Linked DNA regions of Caenorhabditis elegans. The protein of the gene in region 1 purifies or fractionates together with the protein of each later gene. This does not show direct contact. Each region holds a gene or a part of one and is shown on either strand. Other genes may lie near its edges. The genes, in order: oaz-1, azin-1 and odc-1.

Region 1 (5,103 bases):
GGAGTGCCAACTGCTGATATGGCAATTGTGGAGCTTCTGGCGAAAACAAGACCTTCCAAGTAAGTGTTGTTCCAGTATACTCATGCCAATCGCTCTGTTCAGGGGTCCCACCGTTGTCCACTGCTCGGCAGGAATCGGTCGTACCGGCTCAGTGGTCATGATCGAGTACATTTTGGATCAATTGCTTGGTGGTCAGCAAATCGAAGAAACCGACAAGATTTTGCAAAAGATCCGTGAGCAGCGGAACAACTCTATTCAGGTTTGCAACTGCAATATGCTTAAAAATTAAATAATATTATTTTCAGACAGACCAACAATATTTATTCGTGCATCAAGTAATCCTGAACTATTGTCTGGATAAAAAGATGTTTGATGTTGATGTGAAGCTGGCTCATCTTGCATTCACAGAGAAGTACATGAAGTCCGTTCACTAAATATACCTGCCGTCTTACAATTCTTGAACTACCAAATAGTCTCGTATTCGAATAAAAAAGTTCTACCTTTCGAAAAGTTTTTTGTTTGAAATGAAAGTTCACCAACTCTGAAAAGAATCTTAATTCTATCTTTTGAAGTGGAAAACTATTCTTCAAAATTAAAATTGTTGGACCCAAGAGGCCTTTTGAAGTTCTCGTCTCGAAACTCAAACAGAGAGTTTCACCAGGCTGATTTTTCTAAAACACAAAAAAATCGCTAACTTTTTTTTGTTTTGCGATATTTTATTTTACCATGCTGGTCTAGTGGTATTCCCAGACGCAAAAATTGTTTGTTATTAAATGTAAGAGTGTGCGCCTTTAAAGAGTACTGTATTATCAAACTCTCGTTTCTGCCTAATTTTCATTGATTATAGTTTTTCTCATGCTTCCAAGCTTTTTCTAAAAATAGTTTTTTTTTGTTGATAAATTGATAGTATAGCAAAACTATGGAAAAAATATGAAAATTCCGGAGCAACCTAAGCTTGCACGTACAGTACTCCTTAAAGGCGCACACTTTCAAATTTAAGAAAATTGATCATGTCGAGACCCGCTAGTGTATTTTTGCTTCGTACTTTTGTAAGATAGTCTCAAAATTTCGCATTTGCGTAATCGACCTAACGATACCCAATTCATGATGGGCGGAGCATTTTGAACATTTCTCTACAAAATCGTTTTTTTTTTGACAATTTATTCGTTTCTCCAAAAAAGCTGGCGCGTGGACAGAAAAGTGGTGGGAAAGGAGGGATTAATTTAAAGAATGTTTTAAAAAAAAGAGAATTTCTCAGGAAGCATCGGTCACTAATATCTCTTAGAAACAGGAATGAGCTGGTTGTGGATGGGAGTGGGTGTGGTGGGCAAAAATAATCAGAGAAATAGCCAAAAAGGATTTTTTCTGGAAAATTAAAGAATTTGTACACTACATGAACACAGAGATTTAGAGAATTATACTAGAGAATTCTTGAAGGAGGAAATTTTTTGAAAGTTTTTAAAGTGCATTTTTTCGAGGGGTTGGTATAGAAAAAGGTGAGAGAAAGAAAAATAACATTTTTAAAAGCGGCGAGAAATCGATAAAACGAAAAGAAATTGGTGAGATGAATCCATTAGACCTTGTAGCTCATGATGAAGTATTTTTCAGCTGGGAGATGAACTGGATGCTCGTCGATGGCATATGGACGGAATCCGACGTAACGAAGAGTACGTGGGAATCCTTCCGTTGGGTTAATACGAGCCTTCTCAAATACAGCCAAAACACGCTCCATTTCTGTAATAAAAAAGTTTACAAACATTTCTCAGGGAATATAACTTTTTAACAGGATTTCTCCGTTTAAAAACACAACTTTGTAGAAAATCTAGAAATGGTTGAAATAGAACTCACCGAGTTTGTCTTCAGCGAACTCCAAGAGGTCCACAAAGTTCTTCTTAGAGATGCCGAGCACCGGTTGATCGTGTGGAATCATGATCGCCAATGTCTTTTCGCCAATCGATGTCACGCGCCAGTTTGGAGAAACGGCCGATACGATAGCGCGAGTTTCGTTCGGCAATTTGGTGAGCACGCCATGGGGGGCGTCAAAAACACCATCCGACGTCGCCGGGCTGGGTCGAGCATGGGGAGGCGGTCAACGAGCTGAAAAATCGAAATATTATTGTTTAAACTGCCTTCACATTGTATTCTCACCTGTCGACGGCAGACTCGTTGACCAATTGATTCGATTTATTCGTAAAATTACTACTCAAAATACTCGACATCTTGTCTCTCTTGATAGGTACGAAGCGGGTGGTGGGAAACTGAAATTAAGAAGAATTAGATCGATTTAAAAGCAAAGTGAACGAGTGGGCGAGGGCGAGGAAGCATAACGGAAATACAAATTAATATAGTTGTGGTGATCAGAAATTATTCCAGAGAACTGATTCGTATCCCAGATGTTTAAAAATTGATTTTAACCAATCTCAACATTTACGGTGTCCTATAATCAAATATGCTAGAAATAAATTAGAATAATTCGATTAGTTTATGCCAAAGATTAAAGCATGTCAGAAGAGATTTTTGATTCGTTCAATTATTTGATTTACTTCGTGGCTTTTAAATAGAAATTAGAGGCTTTTGATTCTTAAAAGCGTAAAATGTTGTATTGATGTCAAAGAAGATCTATAGAACAGACATAGTAATGAACTGTCTTATATTTCTGTGTTATTAACCTCTAAAGTAAATTGTCACAAGACATACAGAACGAACATTGAGTGAACACAAAGAAGCATGTGACCAGGCGATAAATGAAGTGCGAGGCGGAGGAACAGAGGGACATAAAGATTGCGAGACGACAGAGAAACGCTCTTTCTGGCTCAATGGCTTGCTGGCGCCATTTTGAATGAATATATGTGACGTGCACATCGCAGATCTTTGAAAGTCATATGGTAATGACGAAATGGGTCGTTACAAAAGTGAAAGTAGGGATGATTATTTCTTATTGCACATTTCAAAATCAGATCCAAATAGAAATCGTAAACCCTGTGGGACTCGATTATCAGTTCTGCTCAATTGCCATGATACAAATAATTGGTATACTCACGCCATTAGGATACTTTTCCGAAAATACCTTTTTTCTAACGGAAATTTTTAATCAGAACTGGAGCTAACATAATATTACCAGACAAACAGCGCCTTGTGATATCGAAAGTAATTATTAATCAAAACATTTGCGCCTAAAAAAGGAGAGATCAATAGAATCAATGAGTGGATTTAGTAATGTAAAACTAGAAACTACTCTATATTAAAATCGATTTCGACAACAAAGAATAGAAAATCATATGACTTCACTACAGCTTATTGAGGCAAAATGAAGGTGAAACAGTGAAGATAGAGAAGAAGGAGAACAAGATCGATCGACGTGTAAACAGTGAATCGAATGATTTGGATGCCTTATCTATTGTGGACCGAGAATGTTCCCGGAAAGATAACAGTGTCATAAGACTTGCTCTTCGCCTATTTTATTGCGAAATAATTATTGATTTTCGATAGATGATTTGCAGACCTAATTTAGATTGTGATCAGATAAGAAAAACTTTTAAGTTTATGTGAGCATAGGAATATTAATGATTTGAGTAAGTTTTAAGAGAAACCAGAAACCAGAAATAAAAATTAAATTATTACGAAATCATTCAACAAATTACGACAGTATACCAACCAATTATCAAAGATTGAGTACGTAGTTCCTTTCTTTTCAAGTACTAATGATACAGAGAAAACCAGAAAAGGGAGTCGTTATCAAGGAGAACTATTGGCACGTTTCACTGCTTTTAAGCGCTGACGGAGAGAACAGAGAAGCAGCAATTTCTCTGAATCTCTCAACTTTATACAATCTATCTTTGCTTTTCATTGATTGACGGAAGGCGGCGGCGGTTGAGGCCAGAGACGCAGATTGTGTGACCGAGACGACGAAAAACATCTCAACAGCGTCAAGTTCGTGTTTTTGGTTTTCACAGCTGTTCGGAGGGCGAATTCCAAGGGGAAAAGAGCAAAGAATTGGGAATGGTCACGGATTTGAAATATTTATCTTGAAAGTTGTCTTAACGTGAAGAGAAGGGATATGTTACCAACTCCGAAATGTTCTTATCAATGTTTGAAAATCGGGTTTGAGATCTATAGCTAACAGCTATAATGTTTTTAAATTAAAATAATAGATCAAACAACTTTTTTCAAATCAGAAAAACTTCGGAGGACACGGGTGGCCATGTGATCTTGTTTTCTTTTCTTAAAAAATGCGGAAGTTGGATGTGCAGCTTCTGGTCAAAACAATCAATCAACGGCAATTCAAGGGATAGGAGGTCTTCACCAAAAAAAACGATTTACAAGGATACAGTGGTAAGAGCATAAAAAATAGTGAATCCTTATAAAAATGCATTCAAAAACTTTCTAGAGAGAGAGATAAGAAAACGAGAAACGCGCAAGCTAAAATGCGAAGTGCGCCAGCAAGTCGTTGGCGCAATTCTCGCTTTTGGATTTTTTCGAAACAGATTTTAATGAATTCTAAGACCAAATTACTGTAGTTGGAAAAAAACAGAACGCCAACGGAATCAGAATTTTAACGTTAAAACATAAAATAATTTTTCCACTACAAGAGAAACGTGACATTGCTGATCAAAAATGTAAAATATACCACGTTGCAAGTCAATCTTCTCCACCAGAGTTTTAAAAAATCAGTTCGAATTTCAACGAAAATCGCAACGAAAAAGAGCCATGAGTCGTACAATTTGGTTGGTGAGACATGGACAACGCGTGGACAATGTGGACAAGAAGTGGAAGGCGAACAACGATGCCAAATGGGATGATCCGGAGCTCACGTATGGTGTTATGAAGGGTTTGGTTTTAGATAATTACGATTTCAGTCTCCGCGGGAAACAACAAGCCCATGAGGTTGGAAAGCACTTTGCCAACATGAATATCGAGGCGATCGTGGTTTCTCCATTCACAAGATGCATCGAGACGGCAGCTCAAATCGTTGCAATGATGGAGAACAAGGCGAAGATTTGTGTTGAGCCAGGGCTCATGGAGCCGCTGTATCTTTGCAAGAACCCACCAACCATCCCATCTATGGACAAGATCAAGTATTTCCAATTTTAAATGTACTATCAA
Region 2 (7,445 bases), 2.3 Mb from region 1:
CATACACAATACATACAATAAAGATTTATAAATATGAATAAAATTTGAATTTAAACCCTTTTCTTCGATATCATATGTGGATTAACTCTTAGAAATATTTTTATTTTTTAACACAAGTTGAGCTTCGAACTTCCCTAATAACAAAACACTAAGCTTCCTGAATGTCGGAATGCGGTGTCCAATGTATTCTATCAATAATCGTTGTTGGATTTGTGTGGGGAGCTACTAATCCATTGCTCAGAGCAGCCTCAAAAGATCTGGAGAACAAAAAGAATGGAATAATCCTGGGATTTTTGAAATCTTTTCTCAACTGGAGATTCTCAATCCCTTTCGCTCTTAATCAATCTGGATCGGTGAACAAAACACATTGAACAAGTTATATAGAATAACAATGTATTTTAGGTAATGTTCAACGCTCTTGTTGTAAACTTTCCTGTTACTGTTGTTGTTCCGTGTGTGAATGCGATTCAGTTCATCGCAACAATTACAGTCGGGTGGTTGATGGGAGAGAAAATGCAGGTGTCCACAAGGAAGCAGAAAATTGGAATGACCATTTCATCGTTGGCAATTATTGGAATGCTGATTATCGATTAAATTAAATGTGAAAAAAAACGTTATTTTCATGTAAAACGCACTTTTTAGACGGAAAAAGTCAAATTTTCAGCCAAAATTTTGCTGAAATTTCAAAGAACCATATAAATCCGATTTTTTGTATTTGGTGAGGCTCACACTACCAACTACAATCAATTTTAGTCTCTAAATACCATTGCTCTGGTTGCGTGTCTGGAAAATCTCAAAGTTTTCATTTTCAGGATCGAGGAGACGCCGGAGTTCCACCAAAACGAGCACGCCACGGAAATTGATGCACAGAATCTCAATTTGTTCCCTTTATTCACCTAATTTATAGATTTTTTTTCTTAAAATTACAATTTTTATCGCTTTTTCTGAATTTTAACCCCCCAAAACATCAAAAACTCGTCGATCTCTGTAATGTCCTTCCCGATTCCCATGATATTTAAATGTTTCCTCCTTTTTTGATGTTTCTTCCCCGATTTTTCCCGAAAAAAATACAATTGTAACTTGTCGACAAATACGTGTGTTATCGATTAAAGTTTTATTTATCGATTAAATTCTCTCTGTGAAATTCGTTTGAATAATAATTTATTTGCCTTTCTTTCTTGAGCAGTTTTTGCTTTTCGGGTTTCCTTTTTTCAGAAAATAAAAATATTTTTTATAATATTTTGAATTGAATCAACATTAGCTATAGCTATAGCTTCATCGATTTGTTGTCCAAGAATCAGAAAATATTTATTTACAAAATGCATTAATGATATCATCTGACGAGAGACTGTGCGAAAGTGAGAGGTTCAAGACACTTTCGCAATAAAGCGTGTTTGCATTGCCGCGTTTTTCTTGAATTTTTTTTATTTCGGTCGAAATATTCCTTAGTTTTTCTCCTTTTAAACGAATTTCAGTTCATTTTTCACACGAAATTTGCTCCGCGTTGTTCTCTTACAATTTTCTACGATTTTTGTGTAATCGATTGAAAAGTGTAACTCGATAATTAGCGCGTTTTATCAGATCCCCAATATCTCAAGCTCTATTCCCAGAAAGTTTAATGATTACGAAGCGAAGAACATTAAAAAAACTCGTTTGCTGACCACCACGGTGTCATGTGACCACTTTTCTTCCGCGACAGCCTTCGAAAACACGCCAAAATAGAAGAGCGCGGAATTGTGATGCATGCTCTCGGAGCCCCCGCTTCTCTGCTCTCTGGCCCCAAGTCTGCGTCTCGATTCTCTTGGAAAAATTTCTTTTTTTCTCTTTTCTATCACAAGCCGCCCGCACAATTTTTTCCTCTCGGCTTCATTTTCCAATCAGTCACCAGATTTTTTCTTAATTGTCTTCTGCCCTTGTCTGCTGTTCAGGATGAACTTTGTTCGGGAGCTTCTGCGGAAATTCATAATTTTCAAAGACTTCCAGCTTTGAAAGTTATCTTTTAAGTAAAAAATCAAAAAAAAATCTAAAATTTCGCAACTTCTCTCAACTCACACTCACGTGCCAAGGTCATTCACACTTTCTCTCGCCAGTAAAATCAAATTGTGATAAAAATAACTTGATAAATTAAATATTCAATTATTTAATATTATTTTTAAATTTAAAAAACTATCAAATTTCTTCGTAATTGAAAACGGCTGACGGTATACCGATCTTATATCGCGACCTCCCTCCTTATCAAACGCCAAGTTTCACAAGCAACTTGCCATTTGTCTTTTAAAAATCACTTTGCCTTCTTTCTTATCTTTTCCATAGAAATTTTTTTTGCGGAGCAGATTATTCTAAAAATCAATCAATTTCTAGCATTTCGCTCCTATTCATTTTTCTTGTGACCGGAAGTTAATTCAATTTCTATTTAGAATCAATCAAAAACCTTGTGTTTGTTACGCAATGCTCTTTTCTGAATTTCGTTGTTTGTTCCCCATAAAAATAAAAGTTCTAAACACCATCAAAACACCGGTGTTCGTGTTTTTCGGTCGCTTTTTTTCGATTTTTGAACTGTGTCTGTTGCCGCCTCCTTCTAGGGACGAACGGAAAACAACTGACTCTCTGACATCATCACAGGATATCTTTAAGAAGCTGCTTCCCTCTTTTTCTTTTTCTTGTGTGTGCGTTATTCTAGAAAATTCAAAAAGTTTGTGTGACGTCGTTCCTCGTGACACTCTTCTTATCATTTAGAACTGCTTGCTCTATACAGTTTTCTGATTACAAGTCATCTCTTTCTTTGTCTACTTTCCTAATTCTGACAGGCATTATTAGCATTTTCTATAGAAAGAACATCACATAACGATGGTTACGTGGAAGTTTAAAGGTATTTCAACAGAAAATCGATAAATGTTGAATTTTTCCACGCATCAAAATCAATAAAATAAAATTATATTGTGTCGGTTATCTTACGTTTCGTATTCTCTTCCTCCTAATTTCTCCATTAACACCATCAATCAATCCAATCAATAATTTTTCCAAATAGAATCCGTGCCCCGTCGTGCTCGGATTTGAACTCGATACCTTGCGTGTGAACTACTAACACAAATCGTCTTGTTCCGTGCACTCCAAGGGAGAGAGTGTGCATGGAAGCTTGCCCGAACTGTCCCCAATTCGTCCAAGATTCCCTCCGCCGAGGAATCTAACGAGTCTTCCATACCGCCCTTAAGTGGCGCTGTGAGTTTTTTTTTGTAATATTTGAATTCTCAGAAAATAGTTGTTTTATTACAGGTAGTCGATCAGATCTCTAAGATCTACGCGGAGCCTCAACTTCGCGCCAGTCAAATCCAACTCGACAAGAACGCCGAGCCACCTTGGGATCCAGATCCGAAAGCCTGAGGTTAATACAGTGAATTTTCTTATGTGCTTCTACGAGTTTACATAAGTGCAAAACGGTGTTGTCACGCTCGTCGAATTAATTTAAAATATTTGGTGTGCGCGCCTTTAAGATTAATGTACAGATTTTTCTTTCAAATCTCAGCCGATTTTTCTAGTGTATTTTATAGTTTTTGTGTTATTTATTTATTTAACTGAAATAGATAGTTATTTGCACACAAAATCTTAACAGTAATCTTAAAGGCGCATACATCAAATATTCTAGATTTCGCGCACGTGCCGAGACCATGTTGCTATCGTGTACCTTAAACTCGTAGAAGTAGACATTTGACCAAAAATGTTTCTAAAAATGATTTAACAAATTTCAGACGTCAACTCTGTTCTTCAATCGCTTCCCGTTCTGCCGACTGACCGACTCTCTCTCTTCACATCTATAACCTTTTCTTCATTTTCTATTCAATCGCCCAGTAGCGTGCGTACGAGCCGGTAATCAATAGACCGCCTCGTTTCGCCCGTTTTCCTGGTCTTCCGTCAATTATCAAAATTTCGACGGTGACCTCATCTCATTCCTCGTCTCCAGCCCGTCTCTGTCCTCCGGACGACGTCTCGTGGATCTCGCGTGAAGAGCTCGCATCGCGTGTTTCCAACAACCGTCACATCCCGCCATAACTTGGCACATTCAATTTCCCCATTAAACAACAAATCGATATAAAATGTGAGTTTAATTAATTATTTTTTTCAAGAATATAGCTGTTAATATAAATATTTTTTCAGAACTGATGGTGAGACACCGCCTTCCTTCGTCTACCTACTACACTCCGGCTGGCGAGCCGGAATGGTCTCGTGAGATGTTCGGTGAGCAATCGATTGCCGTTCTCTCTGGAGCCTACCGTAATCCAATCGAAATGGCTCGCCACGTCGCCGCTCGTTGTGGTTCCTATCAACCATTTTTTGTGATGGATGTCGCTGCCATCGAACGACGTCTTGAAGCACTTCGTGTGATGCTTCCAAGAGTTCGTCCCAACTATGCAGTCGCTTGTAATGCTGATCCAGTGTTGGCTAGAGTTCTCTCGAACAACATCGATGTCAACTTTGAAGTGTCGAATACTGCAGAACTCGAGTTAGTCAGCATGAATGTCGAACCATCGAGAGCAGTTTTCTGCTCACAACTGATGACTCGTAAAGCTATCAAAAATGCTGTTTTGGCTGGATGCTCCACTTTTGTTGTAGAAAGCGAGAAACAAGTTACCGATGTGATGAATGCATCACCAGAAGCTGAAATCATCCTAGCTGTCTGTCTTCCATACTCGACTGGAGAAGTTCCATTCGGATGCTCAGTTGATGAGATTGAGGAGATTCTAGATATGGCTCATCTTCTTGGTGCAAATGTTACCGGAATCTAGTAAGTTAAACTTTTTTTAAAATTTCCAAATCATATCTTAACAAAAGTACATATTTTCAGTCTCGAACTTGGACTTCGTGCCACCCTGGAGGACTACATCACATCAGTTCACGATGCTCGCTCGATCTTCGAAACTGCTGATCAAAAGTTCCTGACACTCCGTCGTGTCTGCTTTGGGAATCTCTCTGTTCCAACTGGAGCCGATGGAGCTGTGAATAATGAATTCATGTCATTTTGCAACTCTCTCAACAATGTCATTGATGACCTATTTGAATCTAATATTGATTTCTCTGCAAGCATCGGACGTTTCCTTGTGACAAATGCATTCACATTGTGCACAAATGTTATTGGAAAACGTGCAATGGACGCCAAATTTATTACAAACGATGATTTCGATGATGGAGTTGGATTTGTATATCAAACCAATGATGGTGTATATGGATCATTTGGATGCAAGCAAATGGATATTAAACCATTGTGTAAACCATTGGATGTTGAGAATGACTCTGAAGAGCAACTACATTTCGGAACGATTCTCGGCCCAACTTTGGATGGAACCGATGTTGCTCAAAGACTCATGAAAAGCCGTCAATTGCGTGTCGGCGAGTGGCTCGTTTGGGAACAAATGGGCGCTTTCACAATTCCTGTTGACAGTGAGCATTCGGTGCCGCCTGTGTATTACTATTCTGGAAAAGAATGCTGGTGAGAACTTTTGAACCTTGAGATTTTGAAATTAAATTTGAATTATTCCAGGCAAAAACTAATCCACAAAGATGAACAACGCCGTTCTCCATCGCCAAGTGTCAGTGACAACGAAGATATTGGAAGTGATGGTGAAGGTGGCTACGCATCTTCATGTGAGGATTCGGAGGCGGAGATGGCTTTGGAGCCATTGATCGAGGATTTGAACGAATTCTTTTGATTGTTCCTAAGACTCCCCTGCTCATCCTGGAGACACAAATAATATTCAAATATTCCCCATTTATATTTCAAAAACTTTCTAGGTCATTTTTCTTCTTTTAATTCCTATTTTCTATTTCTCGAAACCTGTCCGTGATCCAATCTGTCTTTTTCAAACTAAAAAATCTTGATTCCAATTTTTTTCTCTCGATTTCTCTTTTTTTGCTCTTTCGGATTGTGTTATATTCCTGATTTCCTGAATTTTTTCCTGAAATTTCATATGTTTCCTGACCACGAAATTTGAATTTGAATTCGAATTCCTTTGAAAAAAGAAATAAAGGTCGAAGAAGTTAAAATAGTTTATTTTATTTACTCAAAAAAAAAAGAAACATTTAGGAACTGCTTGCTCTTTTTGAATTTTTTGCCGCCATCAGCTCCCTCTCCATACTTTGGATTCGTAAACGGAGATCCTGGATTGTCTTTCCATCGGTTTCAATCTTCTCTCGACACTTGTTCAACTCATTCGCCTGATCCTTCAGGAATTCATTTTCAGCCTTCAATTCTTCATTTATATCGGATTTAGTCGTCTCAACGGGCGGCTCATCGACACTTGGCTCACGAAGAACTGCTTCAATTTGAGCCGCCGAATAACTTTTGACTAGAATTGATGGAGGATCACATGAAATTGAATGAATTGTCTGAACAACTGCATTTCGTTTGGTTCCGTCGATTTCTGGTTTTTGAGAGATTTCGAGTTTTGGCTCGTCGGATTCCGAGTCGACGTGGTACAGTTGTTCCGCTAGAAATCTCTTTTCTTCCTGAAAAAATGTTTAAAATTTAAAATTTAGCAATGGGTCCAGGCACGAATGAAATGTTCCAACTACCGTACCCGCAGCAGTTATTCTAGCAATTTTCGCTGAATTTCCCATTAAAACTATTAAACGCGATGGTACGGTTGCTGTAAAGTTCGTATTTATAGTACCAGGACCTAATTGTATTATGGAAACTATTATGGGAACACCGAATTCCGAAAATACGTATTGCGCAACATATTTGACGCGCAAAATATCTTGTAGCGAAAACTACAGTAATTCTTTAAAATACTACTGGCCCGATTTTGCGTTGTTTTTTTCTCATTTATTGGTGAAAATTTTTAGAATAGCATCGAATTGAAAAAAAGCACGAAAAAGTACACGAAAATCTGTGCTACAGTAGTCATTTAATGGATTACTGTAGTTTTCGCTACGAGATATTTTGCGCGTCAGATATGTTGCACAATACGCATTCTCAGAATTTTGTGTTCGCGTAATATATGAATTGCGCAATAACATGCAAGAGAAAAAAGAAGAAAAACCTACGAGGAGAAGATCATAATTGAGTCGTAATGTTTCAGCTTCTTCACGAGCACGATTCCTCTCGTCTCGAACAGCACTGAAAATTAAAATTTCCAATTTCTTTTAACAATTATCTTTAAACAAAACGTTTTTAGGGATTCCATAGGAGTTTCAGAACGTCCCACAGAACGAAGATTTCTACGTGGACTTGATAAACTAAGCAATTTATCTACAACTTTTCACCCCAAAATTTTCTGAAATTTTCCGAAATGAGTTCAACTCTCCACTGCGGGAAAATTTTTTTACAAATTTTTTCCACCCAAAAAAAAGGGAAACGAAAAAAAAAGTTTCTAACTCATTTTATGAGGGTGGCCGAGTTTTTTTAGTTTTCGCACCCATAAGAGGAGAGAGAAATAATAGGCGCCCCCGTA
Region 3 (5,666 bases), on another chromosome or scaffold:
CGACAGATTCCAGCTACGACTACAGATACTCCTGCTGGTTGTGGATTGGTGTGATCCTTACCAATGGGCAATTCCTGTACCGTGTTGGATACCTTCTCTGCTCAGCGTGCGGAGTGTTCCTATCACCATTCTTCTACGCTTTCCACTTGATTGACGTCGTGCTCTCATTCCCTATGTTAAAGGCTATTCTTCAATCAGTTACACACAACTTGCAACAACTCATTCTCACCATCATGATGACACTTGTAGTCGTGTATCTCTACACTGTCATCGCGTTCAATTTCTTCCGTAAATTCTATGTTCAAGAGGGTGAAGAGGGCGAAGAGCCAGATCGAAAGTGTCACAATATGCTCACCTGTTTCATTTACCATTTTTATGCCGGAGTGCGTGCCGGTGGAGGTATTGGAGATGAGCTCGAGAGTCCATATGGCGACGATTTGGAATATCCAAGAATGTTCTACGACATCTCATTCTTCTTCTTCGTCATTATTATTCTTCTTGCTATCATGCAGGGTAAGTCGCTGAACTTCATCACCAACTTTGAAACAAAATAGTGCTCTCTGATTCTGATTCCACTTGAAAATAGCTCTCAAAAACTTCGAGGGTTATCAATTCTAAATTGAACTGTCGCTTTGATAAAATATGATGCAACATCCTCTTCCAAAAATTGAACATTTTTAGGTTTGATCATCGACGCTTTCGGAGAGCTTCGTGATCAACAAGAATCTGCAACTGAGAAGCTCGAGTCATCATGTTTCATTTGCGACATCGGCAAAGAAACGTTTGATCGGATGCCTCGAGGCTTCGAAATTCACACCACCAAAGAGCACAACTTTGCCAATTACCTGTATGTTAAATGCTTTTATTCAACTGTTCTAACTTTTCAAACTTCTAGGTTCTTCTTACAACATCTGGTCAACAAAGACGAAACAGAGTACACTGGTCAAGAAACGTACGTACGTGAGAAGTACGATAATCGAGACTGGGACTTCTTCCCTGTCGGAGAGTGTTTCGTCAAACAGTACGAGGATCAATTGCTCCAATCATAAAAAATCTTTCATCAGCAGAATTCTTAATAGAACAAATGTTTCGGGTCAACTCAATGTTTAGGTGTTATTCGTTCCAATTCTCATCACTAGTATTTTTCGATTCTGATATTCTTTTTCAATTTTTTATGGAATATGTCGTTCTTCGTTATTATTCAGAATTGAGCGACGTTTTTAGTCTGTTTAATTGTTATATTTTTTCAACGTTTCAAACAACCAAATCATAACTTCAAACGTGCCTTAGCGAACCACTTTGGGTGATAAACAACTATTTTTGTATTTTCTAGTTTCATTTTATATGTTTTAATAATAATAAAAATTATGAACAAATAACAAATTTCATCATTTCAAAAATGATGGTGAGTATAAAACTTCCGGTGTCTAAACGTGAAGTTTAATAGCATTTTTAGGCAAGAAAACCGCCATTCTAGTCTTACTTTTTGAAAGGTCCCAGTATTCTATTAAAACTGCTTTTTAAATTTATGGTACGGATACTTTGTCAAATCAGAAGCATGAAAATCACATGATCTCTGATCAACTCCCTTTTTGAAAGCGAGTCCAAAGAACAGTTTTTGATAAGCTGATTCATGGAATGGAATGTCGTTGAAATATTTTCAAACAATGCATTTTGCAGCTCCTCGAGTCTGAGACTTGCACCACATAAATGTCACAAAAGAATCAAAAAGAAGTAGTTTGTGGTGTGTGTGAAGACGATCGACGCATAACAATGGGGCAATGTGATATTATCACATTGATATGCAAATTGATAAATTATAAATGGACCAGGTACGGTAGAGACCAACTACGTCGCCGAACAATCAAACGACTGAGATTCGTCACGAAGTTAAAGGAGACCAGAATAGGCCCCAGATGCCGTAAATAAATTGACGTTTGTGATAGTTACACGGGTCGAGTGCACTCGCCAAGAAATCAAAGACGGGGGAAAACGAGAAAATGAAGCTGGGCGAATGTGTTACAGAAGAGGGTGGAAACGTGACTAATTGTTGACCGAATTCATGTGAACAAGAGAAGGTTGTTATAAATGATGGGAAACGTAAGCTGATGTCAGTTGTATGTTTTCTATACAATGTTATCATTAGACTAGTCAGATCAAAGTTTTCCTTTCGATTTTATATTTTCGCAATCACACGTTTGTACTGTTTCGTTAGTTTTTAACGATCGGTCAGAATTTTATGTAGGTGTATGCTCTAAATTAGAATAGGCCAGCTTCATTTGAAAATTTTAATTATTTTTGCTTTAAAAATGTTTTTATTGGTTCAGAAATAAGTCACAGTATAGCACATAAAACCTTGTTACTGCTCCAAAACTCGAGTTGGCCTAATACAACAAACGTCACTCTAAACCACTATAATGCCATCTGGTATATACAGGTACATTGCACTCGGACGTTCTATCTTTGTCTTTTGATCGCCACCCGTCTCCTCCTCCCCGTCATAAAACGCGGGTACACCCTGCACCCATTGTTCATGACTGGCATCCCCCAACCGCTACACCACATCATCACCATTTCCTCTCTCCAAAGTTGACTCCGCCTATTTCCTGCCAACAGTATAAATAGATACACGGTGGTCAGTGATAAGCCATTCCGTCTCGTTATTAGATCGTATCGTCTATGTGTACATTTCTTCGATTGACCAACACCTCGTTTCTGTCTACTGCGTGTGTGCCCTTTTTCTTATACACGCAAAAAATTTTCGAGCAATTTGACCTACATTTTCTAACTGTTTTTTCGATCTCCATTGTTTCTATCAATTCTAATATGTTTTTTTTTCAGTTCTTAACGTTGTGGCTAACCGTCAGAGTTTGCTAGCAGCGTTTTGATCTTACACCTGGGAAGACCCATTGCCAGAAAATCTCTCGTGTTGACGAATCAAAGAGGCTAGCGGCGTCCGCAGCCCGGCTTCCGGCTTACATCCCCACAGATATCGACTTCGACGGAATCGTCGTCGTATCTGCCGTCTGCTACAAGTACATCTACGATCCTTTGCGTGCAGGAGCGCCTCCTTGGAGCTGAGATCCCCCAACTCTAATAACTTGAAAAATGATTTCTCAATTCGAAATTATTGGTGACAACAAGATTGGCGTGCTTCCAAAGCAAGTTGATCAACTCCAAATGTGCCGTGACATTGCTGCCAGCAAGGATTTGCAAGAAAATGACTCTTCTTTCATGCTCGTTGACCTTGATAAGATTATCGAGAGATTCCAGCTTTGGAAGAGAGAGCTCCCGATGATTGAGCCATTTTATGCAGTCAAGTGCAACACTGATTTGGTTCTTATTCGCATTCTTGCCTCTCTGGGATGTGGATTCGATTGTGCTAGCAAAGATGAAATCGATATTGTTATGGGGACCGGTGTTTCTGCGGAACGTATCATCTATGCCAACCCATGCAAAACACGCAGTTTTATTGCTCACGCAATGGACCGTGATGTCAAAATGATGACTTTTGATAACCCGGAGGAACTTCTTAAAATTGCCAAGCTTCATCCAAATGCTGAGTAAGTTTAAACATAAATTCTTGATTGGAAAAGTTAAATTATTTTCTAAATTTTCAGAATGATCCTCCGCATTGCTGTATCTGACCCAACTGCTACGTGCCCACTCAATTTGAAGTTTGGAGCCGACCCAATTATTGCTGCACCACAACTTCTTAAGACGGCTTCCGAAGAGGGAATTAATGTTGTTGGGATTTCTTTCCACGTTGGATCGGGATGCAACGACGCATCTGCCTACAGGAATGCTCTTCAGCATGCCAAGAACTTGTGTGAGATTGGAGAAGGGCTCGGATTCAAGATGGATATTATTGATATGGGTGGTGGATTTCCAGGAGCCGAACATCATAACCCATTCGAGAAGGTAAATTTTAAAACTACTAAGTTCTAATGTAATTAATTTTTTTTCAGATTGCCGAGACAATTCGTGATGCTCTTGATGAGTTCTTTCCAGACACCAACAAGCGCCTGATTGCTGAACCAGGAAGATTTTTCGCAGCCGGTCCATTTTCTCTTGTTGCAAACATCATTCATGCCACCGAGGTTCCTGCTTCCAAAATCACAAAGGATCCAAAAGACTGCGCTGATCATGGATACATGTACTACATCAACGACGGAGTCTACGGATCGTTCAACTGCATCCTCTTCGATCATGCTCATCCAATCGGATCCCCGCTTTTTGACACTGATCGCAACGAGAAGTTCATGTCAACAATCTGGGGGCCAACTTGCGACAGTCTAGATCTTGTCGAGGATAAGAAGTTGATGCCAAAGATGAATGTTGGAGAATGGCTCTACTATCCGGACATGGGAGCGTACACTCTTGCCGCTGCCACCACGTTCAATGGATTTTCGAAGCCTGTGCCGATGTATGTGATGAGCGAGGAAATGTGGGAGAGCATTCGTGACTCAACTCATGTTTGATTCTTGTCTAAATTATTGTGTCGGAAAATAAATATTCTTTTGTTAGCATTCTTGTTGATTTCGAAACTTGATCACAAAAAAAGGAACAAAAAGTGTGATCTTTCATTTAACGACAATCGAAGTTCTATTATTTCACAGCATACTCAGCCTCCCAATCGTACGGAAATTCTTGGATATTTCTGGTTTGCATCAGTCTTTTCAGTGTTGAATAGATTAATCCATAATTGGGCTCCATGAAGAATGAAAGACCATCGATATGGCTAGAAATTGAATATTACGAATAAGTACATTTTTGTAGAGACTAACTTCATGATCAGGCGATACTCATCTACCGGACATCCAGCCAATAATTGAGTCACGAGTGGATCAAAACGAGAGTTCTTCTTCATTTCACCAACCTGTGGGATCTCATTCACAACTTTCCAAGGAAGAGCTGCATTGGTAAAGTCGACGAGCATATAGAACCTAAAAAAACATGTATATTTTCAAATTTAAAAAAAACTGGGTTTTAATCGCGTCGTTCCCTGACAACTCAAGCGGGCGTTCAGATAATTTTTCATTCACAAAATTCTGCAGTGGGGTCCCAGGGAAATGAACGGTTGGAGAATGGACAGAGAAATGGGCAGGAAAAAATTTGTATTAAAACGTGTTTCAGGTGTTGTATTATAGAATCGATAAGTAGCCTTATGCATGTGTTCATTGCCACCCTTGCCACGTGGTTCGAATTTCTTTTCGGACTATTTTTCTGTTTCTCTCTTTGCTCTCAAAATTTTAACGTCCCATGTATGGGGAATAGGGTAAATTTCAGTAAATTACCAGCTTTCGACGTCATCCTTTCTTCCATGTTCCGCTCTATTATGAGATGCGATTGGCGCATAGCGAGGTGTTCCCCGATATGGAGCCTTCCGTCTCGGCTGCAACATCACATTTCGGTCATCCACAAATTTTCGGCACAATCCGAAATCGAGAACGAAGATCTTGCGGAGCTCGCCGAGTTCTGCTCTTCCGAGACAGAAGTTGCCAGGCTTCACGTCTCGATGCAAGAACCCACACCAATGTAGCTCTTCCAAGGCCTCCAAACACTGGATCGAAGCTCCGATCGCTGAACCCAATGTCAAATGGCCATCTGGTCCTGTTTTCTTTGCATCTTGCAGGGATTTTCCAAGAAATTTCATGACAATGTAG

The links.
Region 2: the proteins of oaz-1 (region 1) and azin-1 purify together in Caenorhabditis elegans (co-purification; one study listed by BioGRID). This does not show direct contact.
Region 3: the proteins of oaz-1 (region 1) and odc-1 purify together in Caenorhabditis elegans (affinity purification with western blotting, with the first as the bait; one study listed by BioGRID). This does not show direct contact.

The regions. Positions count from the first base shown.
Region 1 is NC_003279.8:6,090,462-6,095,564, reverse strand, and holds oaz-1 (Ornithine decarboxylase antizyme), read right to left. Parts: upstream 2,259-5,103; 5' UTR 2,220-2,258; coding exon 2,149-2,219; intron 2,098-2,148; coding exon 2,040-2,097; coding exon of another isoform or gene 1,849-2,039; intron 1,735-1,848; coding exon of another isoform or gene 1,574-1,734; 3' UTR 1,128-1,573; downstream 1-1,127. Other genes in the region: ZK484.7 (Protein-tyrosine phosphatase), read left to right, coding at 1-59, 103-259, 306-434; ZK484.6 (Phosphoglycerate mutase family protein), read left to right, coding at 4,708-4,811, 4,857-5,075. UniProt on the Caenorhabditis elegans protein: Ornithine decarboxylase (ODC) antizyme protein that negatively regulates ODC activity and intracellular polyamine biosynthesis and uptake in response to increased intracellular polyamine levels.
Region 2 is NC_003279.8:3,828,089-3,835,533, forward strand, and holds azin-1 (Antizyme inhibitor 1), read left to right. Parts: upstream 1-2,473; 5' UTR 2,474-3,096; coding exon of another isoform or gene 3,097-3,219; intron 3,220-3,273; coding exon of another isoform or gene 3,274-3,382; intron 3,383-3,746; coding exon of another isoform or gene 3,747-3,789; 5' UTR 3,790-3,930; coding exon of another isoform or gene 3,931-4,047; 5' UTR 4,048-4,093; intron 4,094-4,152; 5' UTR 4,153-4,157; coding exon 4,158-4,780; intron 4,781-4,840; coding exon 4,841-5,482; exon of another isoform or gene 5,483-5,533; coding exon 5,534-5,702; 3' UTR 5,703-6,032; downstream 6,033-7,445. Other genes in the region: F53F10.8 (Transmembrane protein 234 homolog), read left to right, coding at 162-353, 403-594; F53F10.1 (Coiled-coil domain-containing protein 102A), read right to left, coding at 6,073-6,498, 7,039-7,111.
Region 3 is NC_003283.11:6,897,399-6,903,064, reverse strand, and holds odc-1 (Ornithine decarboxylase), read left to right. Parts: upstream 1-2,841; 5' UTR 2,842-3,108; coding exon 3,109-3,563; intron 3,564-3,620; coding exon 3,621-3,921; intron 3,922-3,968; coding exon 3,969-4,481; 3' UTR 4,482-4,525; downstream 4,526-5,666. Other genes in the region: unc-68 (Ryanodine receptor), read left to right, coding at 1-513, 682-847, 896-1,049; K11C4.1 (non-specific serine/threonine protein kinase), read right to left, coding at 4,609-4,741, 4,788-4,946, 5,298-5,666. UniProt on the Caenorhabditis elegans protein: Catalyzes the first and rate-limiting step of polyamine biosynthesis that converts ornithine into putrescine, which is the precursor for the polyamines, spermidine and spermine.